3 linked regions of the Tribolium castaneum genome follow. The main gene of each other region encodes a partner of the protein of the gene in region 2 in a complex. Links are inferred from orthologs where the notes say so. Each region holds a gene or a part of one and is shown on either strand. Other genes may lie near its edges.

Evidence for each region. The genes of interacting proteins can lie anywhere in the genome.
Region 1: ncm (region 2) and Sf3b5 share a complex: the UniProt entries of both Homo sapiens proteins name them as parts of the minor spliceosome. The link is inferred for Tribolium castaneum from reciprocal best matches to the Homo sapiens genes CWC22 and SF3B5.
Region 3: ncm (region 2) and Srrm1 share a complex: the UniProt entries of both Homo sapiens proteins name them as parts of the minor spliceosome. The link is inferred for Tribolium castaneum from reciprocal best matches to the Homo sapiens genes CWC22 and SRRM1.

The regions. Positions count from the first base shown.
Region 1 is NC_087396.1:17,668,708-17,673,594, forward strand, and holds Sf3b5 (splicing factor 3B subunit 5), read left to right. Parts: upstream 1-2,518; 5' UTR 2,519-2,642; intron 2,643-2,696; 5' UTR 2,697-2,698; coding exon 2,699-2,956; 3' UTR 2,957-2,989; downstream 2,990-4,887. Other genes in the region: spz6 (spatzle 6 precursor), read left to right, coding at 1-315, 361-538, 585-803; Mtap (S-methyl-5'-thioadenosine phosphorylase), read right to left, coding at 3,657-3,686, 3,736-3,948, 3,994-4,249, 4,294-4,607, 4,657-4,674. UniProt on the Homo sapiens protein: Component of the 17S U2 SnRNP complex of the spliceosome, a large ribonucleoprotein complex that removes introns from transcribed pre-mRNAs.
Region 2 is NC_087398.1:672,777-679,435, forward strand, and holds ncm (pre-mRNA-splicing factor CWC22 homolog), read right to left. Parts: upstream 3,961-6,659; 5' UTR 3,832-3,960; coding exon 2,667-3,831; intron 2,489-2,666; coding exon 1,819-2,488; intron 1,761-1,818; coding exon 1,325-1,760; 3' UTR 1,279-1,324; downstream 1-1,278. UniProt on the Homo sapiens protein: Required for pre-mRNA splicing as component of the spliceosome. As a component of the minor spliceosome, involved in the splicing of U12-type introns in pre-mRNAs. Promotes exon-junction complex (EJC) assembly.
Region 3 is NC_087398.1:3,110,601-3,117,507, reverse strand, and holds the start of Srrm1 (serine/arginine repetitive matrix protein 1), read right to left. Parts: upstream 4,199-6,907; 5' UTR 3,903-4,198; coding exon 3,888-3,902; intron 3,791-3,887; coding exon 3,701-3,790; intron 3,651-3,700; coding exon 3,528-3,650; intron 3,479-3,527; coding exon 3,308-3,478; intron 3,257-3,307; coding exon 2,919-3,256; intron 1,659-2,918; coding exon 1,134-1,658; intron 1-1,133. Other genes in the region: uncharacterized protein LOC100142362, read left to right, coding at 6,801-6,860. UniProt on the Homo sapiens protein: Part of pre- and post-splicing multiprotein mRNP complexes. As a component of the minor spliceosome, involved in the splicing of U12-type introns in pre-mRNAs. Involved in numerous pre-mRNA processing events.

The DNA.
Region 1 (4,887 bases), on a different chromosome or scaffold from region 2:
TGCCAACTCCACTTCGCAAGACAACAAAGACCGTAAAGGTCGTAAATTTTGCGACCAAGGCGGCATTTTTTGCATGTTGTACAAAGCGATCAATGGGGAATCGTATTCTTCGCCAACCGTGGTCCAATCGTCGCATCTTCCGGTTGAAAGAAGGGATGAAGTGGTACAACCCCGCTATGAGGGACCTCCTACCCCATGTCCCGCCAAAGTCGAATATGCTACTCCAGTTTTCGCGAAGAATTATCAAGGAGTGTGGAGATACGTCGTCCAAATCCCTTACGAAGGCTATTTTACCCAAACTGTTGAAGTTACAAGGTGACAACTTAACCAAAATTTTGCCAAATTTTAAAATGTGTTTAGGTGTCTCCAATCGCGCTGCCATTACTTGGACGGTGGTTGCTTGTCTTCGCCGCGATGGTCAAGCCTTCTGGTTGCCGAGATTTACTACCCCGACACTGTTTTGAGCAACAGTGACACCGCGAACCCCCCGCGAAGCCCAGTGGCGGCATCGCAGCCTCCCTCAGTGCAAGACTTTCAGGTAGATGTGAACGGTTAAAGTTTTGCAAAAATCTATTTTTTTTCAGAACTATCAGCAGTATTTGCACAAGAGGGCCGGGCTCCAGGCCGCCCCAGTGGACTCCTCGACCACATCCCGACCCAATCATTGCGACGGAGTAGACGCCCTTGGTTGTTTCCAAGTGCGACTCTACTACGACTGGTTCTTAATCCCCGGCTCTTGCAAGTGTTGGAGACCCGATTATTTTAATAAATACGTCAGGAGGAAATCCACCACTGAACTATAATTTTTCAAGACTGTATATTAGATGATTGAAAAGGGGGATTTTTATTTCAAAAAGTGTAGTCTAGTCTTCGATTTTTGGGGGAGAAGGGTTAAAACCGGCCGATACCGTTTGATTTAAAATCCCCTTTTTGTGATATTTCTCCCGATTTAGGCGACGAGGGAGCGGAAAAAGCAACTTAATATATTTTTATTTATTTGTTACGACTATTCCACCGTTTCACAGGCTTAAGACTTGCACATAATTTATGAATAGGCGATAAGAAATGTTATGAAATAGAGTAATTTGATAAAAAATTAAATTACTGTGTTTCAAAAGGGTTAGGTAATGGACGTGCAAAATTTTTGACATTGTATAATAATTGTGTAAAAATTTTCTAGAAATATATTATTCATGACACTGGTTGTTTGATCTGGGGCAGTTATTCCTGATAAAAAATGGTTATATTTAAATTACGATAAGTATAACGCAAACAAAAACTACAGGCTGATAGAGCATTTAGGGCCACATTCATAATCGGGTTTAAAAGAGCATTAAAGTAGATGTTTATTTTTCACAAATCTTTCACACATTCCAAAAAACATTTAATTTAATGCTCCGTTAAATTCGATTATGAAAGTGGGCCTACATTTTCGATGGCAAGAAATAAAAGCACAAAAATTATCATAAACAATATTAAAAAAAGCAAACTTTCACCATATTTTTTAAAACGCTGCAAATATGGTTGAAAAAAGTGTATAGAATGCTTTTTTCCGAGAAAGTCTGCCATATCATATTTCTATCATTAACCATTTATTAGGTTTAAACAAATTTAGCGTGAGCGGCTGAAATATGGCCTCAAGAATTTTTTTCCACAAAAAAATGTCTGTTAGCTGTTTCAAATTTATAAAAACGCCAACGTTGCATTTTACCGATTTTATTTTTAAATAAGATTGATAAAAATATGAAATAGTTATTATTGATTAAATCTCTTATTGAAACTATAAATTACATTAGTTATTATTTTTTTGAAGTGCATGAATAATTTATAATAGCTAATTTTGAGAGAAAATGCGACGTTAGCGTTTTTATAGTTTTGAGACAGCTAATAATATACGTATTTTTCCCCATTTTTTCAGTTCGTCTCCTTTTTTCTCAAAACAGTTAAAAACTGACCAAATAAACACATAATGTCTATATACGTAAAAAATTACTAAGTATAAAAACTAGCATAACATAATATAATAATAAATAATAGTATATTTAAAAACAAGTTTTCTATGGGATGAGTGCGCCAAAACCCTTATAAAACGAGAATGTTTTTATGATTTTTTCTTATTTTAATTAAATTTTTTTGTCGTCTAGGGAATTTCGTGTCAGTTGGTGACGGTAATAAATAATAAATAAAGAAGAAATGATGATTAAATCGATCGTACGTGTATTCCACGCATTATCGATGAAACTCTTGAAAACTAAATATCCCTAAATTCATTAAAGTACACTGTACTTTAATAGCCATAAACGACTCCTACTGATATATGTTAATACACGTGTATTATAAACGAAAAATATAATATAATAATAGAGAGACTGACCACTATCCTGTTACACTACAAAACGAAGGATTTTTAAGGCTCATATTTACAATTGCGCGTTATTCAAGTGAAAATAGTATAGCATTTTTGGTGGCACCTAAAGAAAATTTCAGAAATACAACACACCCTGTATAATAAATGTTAGCGAGAGGAATAAAAACCTAGGGACTTTTTTGCTGCCGAACAACAGTGGCAACCCTAACATTTAACACTAATGAGTAGTGAGTTGAGTTCGAGGTTAGGTGAACTTAGGAGCATCAAAACAAAAGTGTGTTTCTTCTTTGTGTGTCTCTATTTCGTAATTTACTGCAATTTGTAAAAGTAATGGGCGACCGCTACAACATCCACAGCCAGTTGGAGCATCTCCAATCGAAATATATCGGAACAGGCCACTCTGAAATAACGAAATACGAATGGCTGCTGAACCAGCATAGAGACAGTTACGCCAGTTATTTGGGGCACCACGATTTGTTAAATTATTTTGCGATTTGTGAGAACGAGGCAAAAGCCCGAGTTAGGTTTAATCTAATGGAGAAAATGCTTCAACCGTGTGGTCCACCTCCAGATAAACCCGAGGATTAGATTATAGTAAAGTCAATAAAAATTTTCATATAATCGTTGTTTTTTTTAAAAGACCATTTTAGAATTCTTCCGATAACTAAAATAATTGTAGCCGAAAGGTCTACTTTGTATTTCATTTCGCCTTTATTAGAATAGAATACCTACTTTATTTGTGTCAATACTAATTGCACTAATAGAGTATTCCACACACGCCGCAAAATTAACTTACATTTAAATAGGTATTACTGTATTACATAGGCAAGATATCACTAAAATCATTCCGAAGATATGTATTCCTTAATCGAATAAAAAGTTTTGGAAATTAAATAGTGTTTCAAGTTCTTTAATAAAAACATGGAGGAAAATTTCTAAAGGTAGTGGAAGGGCATTTAAAAATGTATTTATTTATTACCCTTATTAGGAATATAATTTTTTCTAGTACAATAATTTATGACTTTAAGAGAATATTCTTAGCTTTAGTTCGCTGCATTTTTATAAAAAAAAAACAGATTTTCAATATATTTATTTTTTATTTACCAATTATAGTGACAATAATAGCATACTTAATTGACTGTAAAATGTAACAATTATAAAAATATAGCTTGCTTATAAAATATGACAGATTCAACCTTGGACTTTTTTTTACAAATGAAACCAATCTACACCAAAAATTTGACTATGTGTGCTGTATAAGGCTTATAAAGGCCAAGAAAGTTGGGTTCTATTTCATAACACTATTATGAACCAAGTCCTGAAAAATTAAATAATAAAAATATGCTTACGAAAAAAAGCGAGACAACCTGAAGCTCGTCAATAGTCCAATTCCAGTCTTCTTTAGCAATTGCAGGAACCACATCCATAATCACTTTAGTAACTTTAGTCACATTTTTCTTAAATGTGGCAAGAACATCAGCAACAGTCACATGTTCGTCTCTATTTTCTTTCCAACAATCATAATCAGTGACTAAGGCAATTAAGGCATAACACAAACCGGCCTCTTTGGCTAAAATAACCTAGAAAAACAATGACAAAGGGGCCCTTTCCCTACTAAAAAATACCTCTGGCACTGAGGTCATATTGATGATATCCCCACCCCACTGCCTGAACATTTTACTTTCAGCCTTGCTGGAAAACCGGGAGCCCTCAATAGTGACTACAGTCCCGGTTTTATGGACAGGAAAATTCAGCTTTTGGGCTGTCTGTATAAGCAACTGTCTTGTTCTTTCGCAAAACGCCGGCTCCATCGGCAAATGGCAAATCCCCACAGGGTGGTTTTTCTCCCCGTCATAGAAAGTTTGTTTCCGCCCTTGTGTCCTACCACAACTATCAGAAAAATTCTAAATCAAAATTCCCATCACCTGTCGATGAAACTGTTCAAGATCACCAAATCCCCCGGTTTGATGTGCTCCTGCAGCGAGCCGGTGGCAGTGGCGGCGATGACATGGGTGCACCCTTCCTCTTTAAGGGCCCAGATGTTGGCCCTGTAGTTTATATTGCCGGGCATTATGCCGTGGGTGCGGCCATGCCGGGCCAAGAGCACGCATTCAACCCCCTCGATTTGGCCCAAAGTTAACACGTCGGAAGGCTTGCCGAAGGGCGTATTGACCGACTTCGTTTTAGCGTTTTTTAAAATGTCGGGGTTGTCGAGGCCAGAACCGCCGATTATGCCGATCTATGTGCGGTTTTCGACAAATGCCGGGTTGGAAGGAATATGGACTTACCTTGATTTTGCGTGGCATGTCGGTTAGTTTCACTTTTTTGTTAGGGGACGAAATCTTGATAGGACTTGTGGCCTCGAAATGGTCGACAACAGACAATTTATTGATTAAATCACTTAATTGATTTCGAAACGAAGGTTTAAAAAAGTGCGGTTATGGTAATTTGACAGTTGATGCCTCTTCACACGTGACTCACATGCAGTGTTGCAACCGAAAGAAACATAAAATTCAAAA
Region 2 (6,659 bases):
TATTTTATTAATTAAATTTCTTCATTAAAGCAGGTGGGAATGTTGAAAGTGATATTTATTTTTATTTCACAACGCTTTAGTAAACAGTGTGTGAGGTAAGAGGGTTTAAACAGCTAACAATTAATAATGAATTTGAATAAAAACGTATTTATTTTGGGATCATTGATAAGTTCAAAATCAATTGTTTGTGAACAGAGACGTCACTTCCCCTAACTTACGATAAAACAACCACCCTTGGTATAAATTCAGCTTTCTTTCCGTTAATCGGATGACTAATCTGAATGTTATTCATAACAATAACAGTGGCATTGGAGGGAAAACCTGGCACAGGAATAATTTCAGAATAATCAAATAATGCAATGTTACATCCGGCCTTGTAAAGCATGAAAGCACGTCTCCGCGAGAATTCACCAACGTGAAGAGATTCAGGTCTTGTGTGTGAAAAAATGAGTTATCGCACTTGGTCGAAATTTTACAAGTTTGTTCTGCGATTAATACAATCTCTTATCTCTGGTAAATGTTCTGGTAGTTGTCGAGTGGTCATAACTACGTTCGTAATTATCTGTTTATGCAAGCCAGTCTGTGCGGCTTTAATCCCCGATAGGGGCTTCACAGCAATGACCTATAACACATAAGAGAGCTGATAACCGTGTCGTGGAATTAAAAAAGAAGGGGGCGTATGGCTCTCAAGGCTCCGGGGTTCAAGGGCGTCGTTGTCCGAAATCAGCTGACTTTTCAGGGGCCCCGCGAACGCCTCAATCAACAGGTCCAGGACCCCGTTACAATCCGACACGAAACATTGAGATTTACTTTAATGCGAATGACGCATTTGACATAATAAAAAAAACATCGTCTCCACTCATCTAACCTACCGACTTGGCTCTAGCTACTTACTTTGGTTAAATAGCTCACGTTGCACTAATACGATTACTGTTTTTCTTCCTCATAAAAATACCTTTGATCGGATTTATTGTTTTTAACACGATAGCACCAATTTACTACACAATGAACAAAAATTAGTGACACACAAAATGACAGCTCGGACCCGACGAAACTGCTTGCCAACCTCGCCAACAAAAACCACCAAGCCTTGTTCACCCAAATTTTCAGTTAAAACTAACCCAAAATTAAAATTTTCACCCAAATTTGTCTCATTTTAGCAAAAGCACAAACACGCAATTTAATTAACACCCACATTTCGTCAAAAAAAATGCCAAAAGTGTGGGTTTGACTAAGCGCCAAATTCAAATCTGGTAACTTTAAGGAATCAAACACAAGTCACAAATAAAAATATTTATTCAATACAATTTATGTACAAAGTAACTTATCTCCTACTCTTATGCTTCCTCTCGGGGCTCCTACGCCGCCTCCGATCGTCTCGATCGCGTGACCGTCTCTCATTATGTCTGTGTTTCCTCGCATCTGTTTTTCGTTTTTTATCATCGTCTGATGCTTCTTTTGTCGGTTTTTTCCTCTTCTTTTCTTCCTTCTTCTTACGTGGTTTCTCATCTTCGGAACTTGACGAATCCGAATCACTACTATCGGAACTGGATGAGCTTGAACTGCTAGTGCTACTGCTGCTAGAATCACTTGATTTTTCAGTAATCGTCAAGGGATTGACTTTAGGGGCTGTTTTCAAATGTTCCCTCAACTCGGCCGTAAGCCCCCCTAAGCCAATCGACGTGAAAAAATTAATCGCAAATCTTGTATTTTTGGGATCATCGCGCGGAAACAGCCCCTCAAAATGTGGCTGAAGCGTTCTGAAAAAAATCCAAAAAATTAACAAAACCTCGTTAATTATCAAACACAGTCACTTACGCATCTTTAAGCCTGGCATTTAACTTCTCCAAGCCCATATATTCGGCCAATTCCTGGAACAAAATCTTGATGAAAATCCGATTGGAACTATTGGTATCCTCTTCGTTCAGTTTCATAATTTCTAAAACCTCCCATCCAATCGCATCGGTGAACAACAAATGTGCGAAAAACTTGCTAACATTTCGCAATTTATTTGTGTCAAGTCTGTGTGTTGTGGCGTACGTGTCTTTGAAGATTTGTTGGAATGGCTCGACATAAATCTGATTCACTTGACAAAATCTCTGTGCCAATAATCCGTAAAACTTCTCGTAAGTCCGTTGTTCGGCACAACAGTCGAGGAACATGTGGCATAATTCGATTTCTTGGCCCGGTTTCAGTTCCATTTTCATTAGTTTGTGGGCACTTTCCTCAAAATCTAAACTTGATTGGATGGTTAAGTAGATTGTTCTGCGTAGGGCCACGAGGTTGGTCTCCGTATTGTCGATTATGTTGGATTCGTTCTTTTGGGCGCCTTCTTCTTCCTCTTCGTCCTCGTCTTCGTCGTCTTCCTCGTCACCGGACTCTTCCTCCGAGCCGGAGCCCGACTCGCTGTCCATGTCCAGGATTTCCTTGCTCAAAGTCTTGTACTTCCCCTCGTTTTCCTCGTAGTTGTCGTCGAATTTAAACACATCTAGACAGGATAATCACAGAGTGAACGAGGCAAATTAAGGAATTAATTAATTAAAATTTCAAAATAATTTTTTCTGAGAAATAAAAAAATAATAATAAAAAATCTCAAAACCTGGATACCCCGATTTTTTTGTATAAAAAATTAAGTACAGTTCCACCTAATTAAAAAGTTTCCTTACTTAAAATATCCTCAGCATTTGATTGCTTAACATCATCCAGCGTAATCAAATGTGTAAACTGGTGCTCCTCATCCACCAAATCCAACTCTTCAATAACAGCGGCATGATCCTTAAACCCGTCCTTCCTGATTTGGAACATAACTTCAATCATGTACTGAATCCTCGGTTCCAACTTCCCCTCATGTAAAATATTCCTCAACATTTCAAAGATGGCATTAATGCCTTTACTCGAAACCTCAGTCAATTTCTGTCCACATTCCTTCAGAAACGAAATCGCAACTTCAACCGAATCATCAGTTGGCGTCTCCACCAAAAGAGTCAAAATCTCCAAGGCGAGAATTTCATGCGCAACCCTCTGATTAACCAAATGAGCCACAAAAGTCGTGGCCGAAATGCAGATAATTTTATTATTCTGCTTGAAACCGCGCTTGAATTGCAAAACCAAACGTTTCAGTAACAATTCTCCAATATTAGGGAATTTCGAATTGATGACAGCGACCAGGGCTGCGTACACGTTTGTGAAAGTTGGGGACGCAGCTTGCGCTTGTATTATGGACTTGCAGAGCAGTCCGCGCCCCCTTACCACATTCTCATGGAGCAATTCCCGCGAAATAATCCCAATGTTGGACGTATTCACCTTGTTAATAAACCCATGAATGGATTTTTTTAACGCCTCCCACGCAATTCTTTGATACGCCGCCGAGCTCTTATCAGTAATCTCCGCTTGCATCATCCGCAGCTTCGCTGGAGGGATGTAAGCCCCACCTGTCCGTGTCAGTAAATCCACGGTTTTGCGCTCACGGGGGGCTATCACCGACTTATCCGTCTCCTTCTCAGACTCTTTGTCTTTATCGTCGGGCTCGCCCCCGTAATACCTACTACCCACCTGATGGTCATCCTTGCGGGGGTATTTGGTCCAATATCTATCGCTGTTTTTCTTGTGTTCTTGATCCTCGCCGTAATACCGAGGGTATTCTTCAAGGGGGCGGTCCAAGTCGTGGTATTTGCGACTTTTGCGACGGTCTCGTGAACGCGAACGGCGGGAACGCTTCCGGGAGTCTTTATGGGGCGAGTCGTCACGACGTTTTTTACGGGATTCAGGGGATTTGGAGCGGCTTTTACGCTTGGGTTTGGGCTGTGGGGAGGTTTCGGTGTCGGTGGTCATTTTTTAAGCACTCACAAAAACACAGTAAGAAATTGGGGCGATTATTGACAACACACAACAACGCAAGAGGTTGAGGTTATGTGGCACTGGTGATAATGACAAATTCCCTACTATTTTTGAATTTTAAAGTCGCCAGATTTTTTTGTGCATTTAGAATAAATTATAATTAATTATATGTACGTGTTTACGCAATTATAACATAACTAGAGGGCCAGGAATTGGTGGTTTTATTAATTCCAGACATATTTGAAAATTTACAGACTTACTAAATTAGTGACAAATCTAAAATTTCAAAAAAATTTGAATGTGATTTTGGGGGTCACGTTTGCCTAAAAAATATATCACGACCTGGGAATTTTGGGATTTTAATGATCTTTAAATGTTAAATAAAAGAAAACTAGATGATGTAACGTTTAGCTATTGATAGAAAACAAAAAGTACCTACATGGAAGTAATTTTGGCAAAATTTGTTACTTTGGAACCTTAAATATTGATTTAAAAGTTCAAAACAATAAAATTTTAAGTAGAGCATGTCTGAAAAGTTTGCTATTTTTTTCTTGTATTGTGTATTGTTTGTTTGTAGATTAACATATAATACGTGTTATATTTTATGATAACATTTCAGGCAATTGAGAAGACAAGATATGATATTGTAAAATTGTGAAATAGTCAGAACCTTATGGTTCTCAGGTCGCGATATTTTCAGAATATTTACTTCGACAGCGACTTTTAATGTGTTCCCATAAAATGAATAACTTGACACAGACTTTCGCTTTTTCTTGAAGAGAAATGGCTGTTGGTGCAAAAACAAGCAAAAACCGATAATAGTGGCTAATAACAGCTCTAGCGTACAATTAAATTTTTATGGCACAATAACAAGTTCGATCAAAGATTTCTCAACAATACTTCCGCGGTGAAAAGAGCGTTTTTACGGCATACTGAAAGTGTTACAAGGTATTTTATTCAGTTTGTGGATTTTAAAAAATCGGCGCGGAGAACGATAAGGTCACGCATTTTAATTTTGCGGAATTTCGCGGAGGCCTCCCATGAATATGTGAAATGTTTGCGTGTACCATATTTTATTAAACAGTTTGAACAATAAACAGTGCGAATGCAGCGTTTTCGAGGCATCAAGGTCACTGCCAAGTGAACTTAAACCCAGCTCCAGCTGTTTCAAAGATCGACCAACGAAACCAATCCGTACAAAAGAGCCCGAGGCTGCTTTATGGAGAGTACCCATGCTATAGCAATTCAGTTGGTTCTCAACCTTTCGGTGCCGATACCGTGCGCGTTCTCCTCTCCCATTTTTCCAAAATTTTGCCCAATTTTTGGTACTTTTTCTAAGTAAAAAAGCGTGCCGGGTTGGTGTAGGTGCTAAAGGTGCTGGGCCCAAGGTTGCGACTTTTGTTAATCATCTTGCTTGGAATAATTACAAGTGGAACTTGCAGTCATGGTAAATAATTATTTCGCACAAATCGCTCTTTTTTTAGAAATTAATTGACCACTCGCTTGAGTAGTTAGGGGAAAGAATTTTAATTATAGTTTTGGGTGCAGTTCCGATAAAAAGGTCACAAAAGGGTTATCGTAAAATGCGCAACAAGACCGAAAATAAGGCCTCCAAAAGTCGTCTCGTTGCTCTAATCGCAATAATGAGTAAACCTTTTAGTGGTCAACTTATCGACCCAAATAAGTCATTAAAAAACCACTTATCGTTACTCATTTTAACATGTTTCTGCAATAATTACTAATTAGTTTTCGTCGAAAAATTGTATTGTATTTTTTTGGGTCGTGGAATTATGTAAACGTGATGTCATTTGTTTAACATTTAAAAGAAACATTACCATAAAAATATTATGCACCTCCAAGCATTAGCATGTGTCGCACTAAAAGCTAAAAATATCGTCTTTATGGGCGAAGCCTTCCAGAGGCATCAAAGACCTTTCGGTGGCTGCTTCCGAAACTATTTTACCTGAGTTTATGAATTAGCGCCACTGAATCAGGTGTGATCTTCAACAATGGTCGAGGAATTTTAATGTGATTCTGATTGTCATTTTTATTCTAATTAAAAAACATTGAGTTTGTTTTCTCCGTCAGGGTCAAATGTTAGTGTTTACTTTAGCAGTGTGAATAACAAACACTGCCAAAATTTTTGACGACTACGAGGGCGGTCATTCAAAACTAATTCCTTCGTGTAAATAAACCCATCACGTGTTTGTCCATTGTCTCAGTCTCTTTGTGTGGTTATTGTTTTTTAATTTCCAGCTATTGTTGGCACCCGTCGTGTATATAAATTTTTTGGGGTAGGTATTTTACACCCTCGGTAAGGTGTTTAAATCAAACAATGCGCCCACATCGGTGATCTGTAGGCGTAATGGATGCTTGAGCAGAGTGTCATCTCATTTCTTTGTTTACCTACAAGGTCTTTGATTCTTATACGGGATATAAATTGGTCTTTTCGTCCACCCTAGCAAGTGATTTATTTATAGCCGGAATTGTTCTTTTGTTTGTTTTTCCAGACGCCTGGTCTTTACACCTATAAATATGTCTGTCTTTCCTATAAATATCTTTAATTGCTAATTAAGCCATGATTAATCGGCGCGCTCTAATTGATAAACGCGGGCAAAAATTAATCAAGTGATAAGTGTGCAGGTATGAAGGGTCGTCAGCCCAATTTCCGCCCCTTCTGCGCCAGATGTTGGTAGAAAAACGAAAGACGTCATCATTTGGAGGATTTCCTGTGATGTGTCCCACACATCTCACAATTCTCGATTGAAAATTTGCAAACTAACAAAATAAAATCCGCCTCTGCGTTCTTCAATGAACTCGCT
Region 3 (6,907 bases), about 2.4 Mb from region 2:
ATCTTACAATCCGAAACAGTTTTTGTATCTACTTTTGTTTGTGGTTCAGTTGGCAATGGCGTAAAGTAGGCTATGTTCTCAAATGTCGAAAAGCGGCCATGGCCAACTGAGATAAATTCTGTCCTCCAACAAGGAAGAACAACTTGATATATCTTCTAGTTATTAATTCAAATACAGTCTAAATCAATCGATTTTTCTATGTATCAAGTTTTGTTTTTTTGATGTTAGCGGCCTTACAACGAAAAATCAATTGATTTAATACAAAATAGCAGATTCTGTTCCCATAAGTAAAGTAACAAGCGCCTAAAAATGAATGACATCGTAGGGTGTGTTGGCCAGGCCAGCGTATATCTAAATGAGGCCTAGCCAAAACATACTACGATCTCATTCATTTTTAGACGCTTGTTATCTCATCTAAAAAAATTACTCAAAAAAAAATACACATTAATTCACAAATTAGACAGAAAAAAAAAACAAATATCTTAGCTGAGATACGCCGGATATAAGATTTAAGTGGATCTCGACCAAACAATAACGGTAAATTGTGGAATTATTGGTGACATAAAGCAAAATTAAGTAATGATACGGCCGATAAATAATTTGGAGCGGCAATTCACCACTAGGGACAAGATTTATCGATCATTTTGCACAAAAAATTACTGTTTTTATAATAGAAATTCATTAGCATTACTGAGTAGTTACAAGAGCCTCATAAATTTGTGTCAGTGAGAATATATCGCATATTTTCCATGATTATTTATTTATTATAAACCGAATTGAAAAACTAATATTTTTTTCTCGTCTCTGACATAAATCTACAGAAATTCAAAAACACGAAAAATTACAAAACACGATTTTAAATTAACAATATCTTAAAAAAATATATTTAAAATAAAATATTTAAAAGATCTCTCTTTCATGCAGTTGAACGGTCGAGTTCCCCTTAATAAAAACAAAAAATCGAATGCTAGTTTCAAATAGAAGATAACTGTTTACGTATTGCAAATTTAGAAGTATTGAACCACTGACACAACACTGTTAAAGAAATGACTACATACCATGTCATAAACTGACAATTAACTCTGTATCCTTGTTTTTAACGGTAAAACACATAATAGAAATAAAAATCCCACCTTCTCGAAAGACTCCTCTTTCGGCTTAGGGACCTCTTCCTGGAGCTGCTCCTCTTCCTGGACAAGCTCCTCTTGCGTCTGGGACTCTTATCCCTGCTGTTTTTCCTGGCGCGTCGCGGTGACTTCGACAGTGACTTCTTCCTCTTGCCCTTGTCCTGGTCCGGTTCGCTGTCGGAGCTGTCCTTGTTGGATCTGTAGTGGCGTTTCTTCTGGACGCTGTTCTCCTTCTTCCTGATCTCGAAGTTGTCCTTGGATCCGTCCGAACTGGAGCGGGAGCGACGTTTCTCCTTGTCCTTGGAGAGGGAGCGCGACTTGCGATCCTTTGATGCTCGTGGACTAGACGACGAACGGGATCTCGAATGCGATTTGCTGGGTGACTTGGAGCGTGAAGCCGACTTTGAACGGGAGCGAGATACTGATTTCGAACGGGAACGGGAGTTACGCTGCTGTTGCTGCTGTTTGCCGTTGCCGCCGGCCATGGACATCAGCTTCGCTTGAAGCTTTGACACGGGCTGGGAACTCTCTCTAGACAGTAAAGCCAACGTTAAACCTGCCCACATCGTTTGCAAAACGGGCAACAAAAATAATGGAATCAAGACGAAGCCAACGATGCATTTTGATTACACAAAATGTCCGAACAAACATTAAATACATCGGTACAACCCATCACATACAAAAAAAAGGTAACGCTATTATTTAAACTGTTATTCTTCCTTACAAGTGGTTTTTAATTTTTGTAATTATTTTATACAATGGACGATAAAGTTTTATAAAACCAATAAGACTGAGGTATTTATTTATAGCCATAATATAGTTTATATAACTGACTTTTTTTAATAAAAGTGCTTGGACGCAAGCTAAGACAAAAAAACTTTAAAAATGTTTTCTTGGCAAAGAAGAACACCGGGAAATAAAACTTCTAATACAAATATAAAAAATCTATTAATAAATTCGTGTTTACCAGGCACTGGCACGATAATGATTAGTGTGAAAAAAAAAACAAAATAAAAAGTGATAAATACCAACGTAATTTTGTAATAAAAATAACATTTATTTTAATACATAATTAAAAAATGTTTTAATAAAGCTACAGAAAAAATATTGTACGTTACTCTTATGAAAACACAACGTATCACTCACCCACGTAATGCAACATATCGTTTTTAATCCTTGTAACGTAAATAACCGTTTGCATAATTTTTCGACGTAATTAAAAACAGATTACAAAAAACCTGTAAACTAATATCTATTCGAATAATTTTAAGAAAATTATTTGAATCACATAACAAAGTCAACTTGCTCACACAACTACGTCCATTTCCAATATAACGTTCCATCATTAGATGATTAAAGCTGCATCATCAATGCATGTTGACAAAGAATGGTTTTTATTAAATACATACAAAATCACAAAAATTAATCCACAATTATTTTAATACGTTAACAAATAAAAATAAAATCAATCCCAAAACGTGCCAAAATAGCGCAAACCTTAGAAAACTTATTAAACAAAAAATCCACGCAGTATTAAAATGTGCAAATTTTTTCACTTGCTTAAAATACTTTTAGCCAGTGATATAATCAAGAAAGAAACCAACTTTCTCTAACGTTCTTTATTTATTTATTCAACGAATTTTGCGCGTCATAAAAATAATAACCATTTTTAGCATCTTGCTGAAATTGTGTCGTAACACGAGTTACTGAAGCAATTTACAAAACTCACCACTTACCACAACGTGCAATTAATTTCCGCAACAAATTTAATCTATCAGTAAACAAACTTACGAATTATGTTTAGAATTGGCAGTACTGCTTTCCAATTTGGCAGAATCCTCTCTGCCATTATTCTCCCGTTCGTTGGGACTTGCGTTGCCGTTGTTCCTCAAATCATCAATCTTGATCCTGGATCTGGAACGGCTCCTTGACCTCTTGTCCTTCCCTCTATCGTTGTTCCTGCTGGACCTTTCAACCGACCGCCTCCTGGGCCGCGACCTTGACCGTGATCTCCTCCTAGACCTGGACCTGTCCCTATCCCTGTATTTCTTCTCCTTGTCGGACTTTTCGCGTTCGCGCTCTTTTTCTCTTTCCCGGTCCCGAATCTCACGCTCTTTTTCCTCTTTCTCCTAATATAACACAAGCGGTGATACCACCAAAAGTATGTAATTTATGCAAACCTTCTTTTTTATGATTTCTTCACGCTTCAAGTCCAAGAGTGAGTCGGGGATTCCGGACGGGTTCTCCTGTGCTGAGATCAAGAGCGCCCACAGCTCGGCCATGAACTCGCGCGCGTTTTTCCCATGCAGAAACCCCGTAAGATTGATTTGGATCTTTTTAGGATCGGGAAACTGCAACGTAAATATTTAAGCAAGCGAGTTTCAGTTGGCAATGTTGTACCTTCTCATCTAGTTGATTATAAACAAAATCGACGACGACGTCGTCATCAATTTTCAAGATTTCCGTTAATTTGTCTTGGATCCACGGCTTGATGACATCAAGTTTAATTTTGGACATATCAACCTGCAATTGAGCGCTGCTTTATCACGGTACCTACGCTTGGCTTAATTTACCCTCTGACTCAAACAATCGCTGAACTTCATCTGCTTCAGGAGCTTTTTTTCCTTATCGCTGAAGCGATTGTCTTGCTCGGTGGTTGTGCCCTGAAACGAGTTGTTTACAACAATAATCCCTTAAAATATTTGACAGTTCTATTAATAAACACCAAGGGGGGACGTAATCCACTTGCAAAAAACTCACCGTATACATCATCATAGAGTCCGGAAATGGTCCTTTCGTTGCAAACTAACAAAAACCACTCAAATTACTAAATCAAGAAACGAGGAACTGTAGCACAGACGCCGGTACTTGACTTCACGATATACACATAATTGAATTCTTCACATGATTTACTATAACACTAAACTACAGCGGTTAATGCAAACTCCCGATTAACGCGACTCACAATAAAAAAATCATCGTTTTTTACAATTAATCGCGCACTAAATTCTACAAATCCATGTTGCTTCCAACAAAATGGCGTGGCGTCATGGCGTCAAATTTGTTGATAATTCCAGATTCTGCCTTACCACCGCAGCTCTACCGCACCGACCGGGCCAAGCGCGACTTTAAAATCTGAGAACTCATTCAAACCTATTTTAATAAAAGCCGCTTTATCGCAAAACTACAACAACGCCCAACCACGTATTTTACTAAAAATGAGGCAAAAACGCTACTTTGTGCAAAAATAGCACACAAGAGCAGCCCAGTTGTAAAAAATAAAATTCCGGAAAAATTCCCAAATGAACTGCTTTTTGCCGGTCATTCACTCCCAATCAAACGCTCTAAACATAAAGTGCTAGTCAAAAAAACTGTTTTGTTCACGAAATCAAATCCCAATTGGTATTTTTCTTAGAACTCGAGAAACAAAGTTGTCTTCAGCACAACATAATTGGGGGCCCAGATGAGACAGGTAGCCTCCATTGAACCGTAATGGTCCGTCGACTATTAGCCAGTCATCTGTTATAATAGGAAAACAGGGTGTTCTCCCACTTAGCAACTGTTCTTGTTCTTTAATCCCTCCCAGGTACAACATTATATCATTTCCGTTTCACAAGTTCAAGAACAACCTGGTCTTCAGTCTACTGGCACACTTCAAAGAAATTATTTCGTGCAGCACCCGACCAAAGTGCACCAGTGACCACAGTGCCAGTTAGTGAAAAAATAAAGTAGAAAAAAGGTGGTTCAAATATGGATTGGCAATTTTGAGTGAAACGCACCGAAAATTATTGTTTGCTAGATTTGCAATTTTTCGAGTCTCATAAGTGCCAGAGTCAGGACAGGATGGCCATTAGCAAAAATACGGTTTTTGCGGTAAGTTTGCAGGGGCGCAGGGCTCAATTCGCGCGAGTATGTAGATTTACCGATATTCAAAATATTTGCCCTCTGCAGCCCACATAAACGCCGAAGAACAGTTATATGATGAGGTCAATGATCAGGTATCGCTTTGAGTAGGTACGTACTGGACAGGTGGTCAATGTAATGCACGGGACAGTGTCGGGTTTAGATGATTTTACCCATCATTGACGGTTTTTTGGAAAACCGGTGATGTCATCATCTTGTTGAGTATTTGGTCAGGTATTTCGTATTGTCTGAGATGACTAGCCTTCGGAATGAGGTTGAGATGGTAATTAAACGGTACTTTTCGTGATTAATTTTTAAAAGACCTACAGCCGAAGACGAAATTCATGTCACGAAGTTTCCGTGCTTATCGAAGGCTTAATTAGACCTCATCGATCGCAATTACCTCTTCGAGGGTATAGTATAGTTGAAAAAAGCCGCTAATTTAATTATGTCGTGCGACTTTGTTCGTGAGGTGGGATAAGAAACCAGAAAATTATAATACGAGGTACTTGAACCGCACGACGAAATTGTAATTATAACAGGACAATATAAACAAGTAAAATTTAAACAAGTTTTGAGAAATTGTAAATGAGTGAAAATGCGCACTTTGTATTTCTTTTATCGCCCCAAGTCGTTAACACGAAATTTTAGAAATTAACTTATCACCCGGCTATCAACCAACATAATGTATAATTTATTGCATTTTACTTTTATTAACCATCAGCTAGTCTAGACATAAAGTTATCAATTAATTTCTCTAAATGCGTTATAGCTTTGGAAATGCATAATCACGTTATTAGTTTCTCGTAGAAAGTTCAATACCATCCGACAAAATATTTCGTTGAACCTGACTTTGGAAACACCTGTTTAATTTATTTAAATGAGACGAAGTGTAACAGTAAATAATTCGTAATGGGCACCTGGTCACGCAAAAATCCGCCTTTTTCTCAATGTTTGGTCCAAATAAAAAAGTAAAGACATTACTTTAACAATGAAACAACTTGTAATTTTTTAAATTGGTGGTCCAACCAATTTAATTACGAGAAATAACAAGCTTTAGAAATGGTTCAACGAATTAACGATTCTTTGCGCTTGGAACAGCCATTATTGGTAATCACGTCGCTCAAGGCGAAAAAGTATTTAGGTAACCTACTTAAAACTGAAGCATTTACCTACGATTTTCAAAAATGTAAACTGTTACACCATTTTTAGCAAAATAATAACTACTATCTTGAACAATTTCTGTGGTTACACCAGTAACTCAGCGGTTAATTATAGTTTGTAGTGAAAGAAAAAATATAATTACAGATACAAAATAAGCTCGGTCTTCAAGGCAAGAAAACAGCAATTTGTGTTTCACGGAGTAAAAAACATTTAAAAACCTGTAAATTCAACATTAATTAGGAAAAATTAAACTGCTCGGAAAAAATCTGAGCTTATTTCATGCTTAGTTGAACGTCTTTTATCACTCAAAAGTGGAGCCGATACTTAAATTTTTGATTTTGTTGCATGAATATTTGCATTAAAAAACCTGCTGTGTTTTTAACATTTGACCATCATATCTTTACGAGCCGAGTTATTTTGCAAATAAGAAATAAAAATTCCTTTCGACAAGTTTCTTTCACCATAAAACCATGAATAAGTATTGCACTTATCTGAATTACTGAAACGTTTTAAAGTTCATTCAAGCTGCTTCAGAGGTGAAGCGGAAAATGGTGCTATTTTATGGCCAACAACTTGAGTATAATGACCAGTGACTAATGTATTTACATGGTTTTTTACAAAATCGACAAATTATTTATTGTGGCTTCAAAGACAGGAAGTCAAAAAGTTAGTGGTACTTTATTTATGGACAACTAAGAGCGCACAAACCGCAT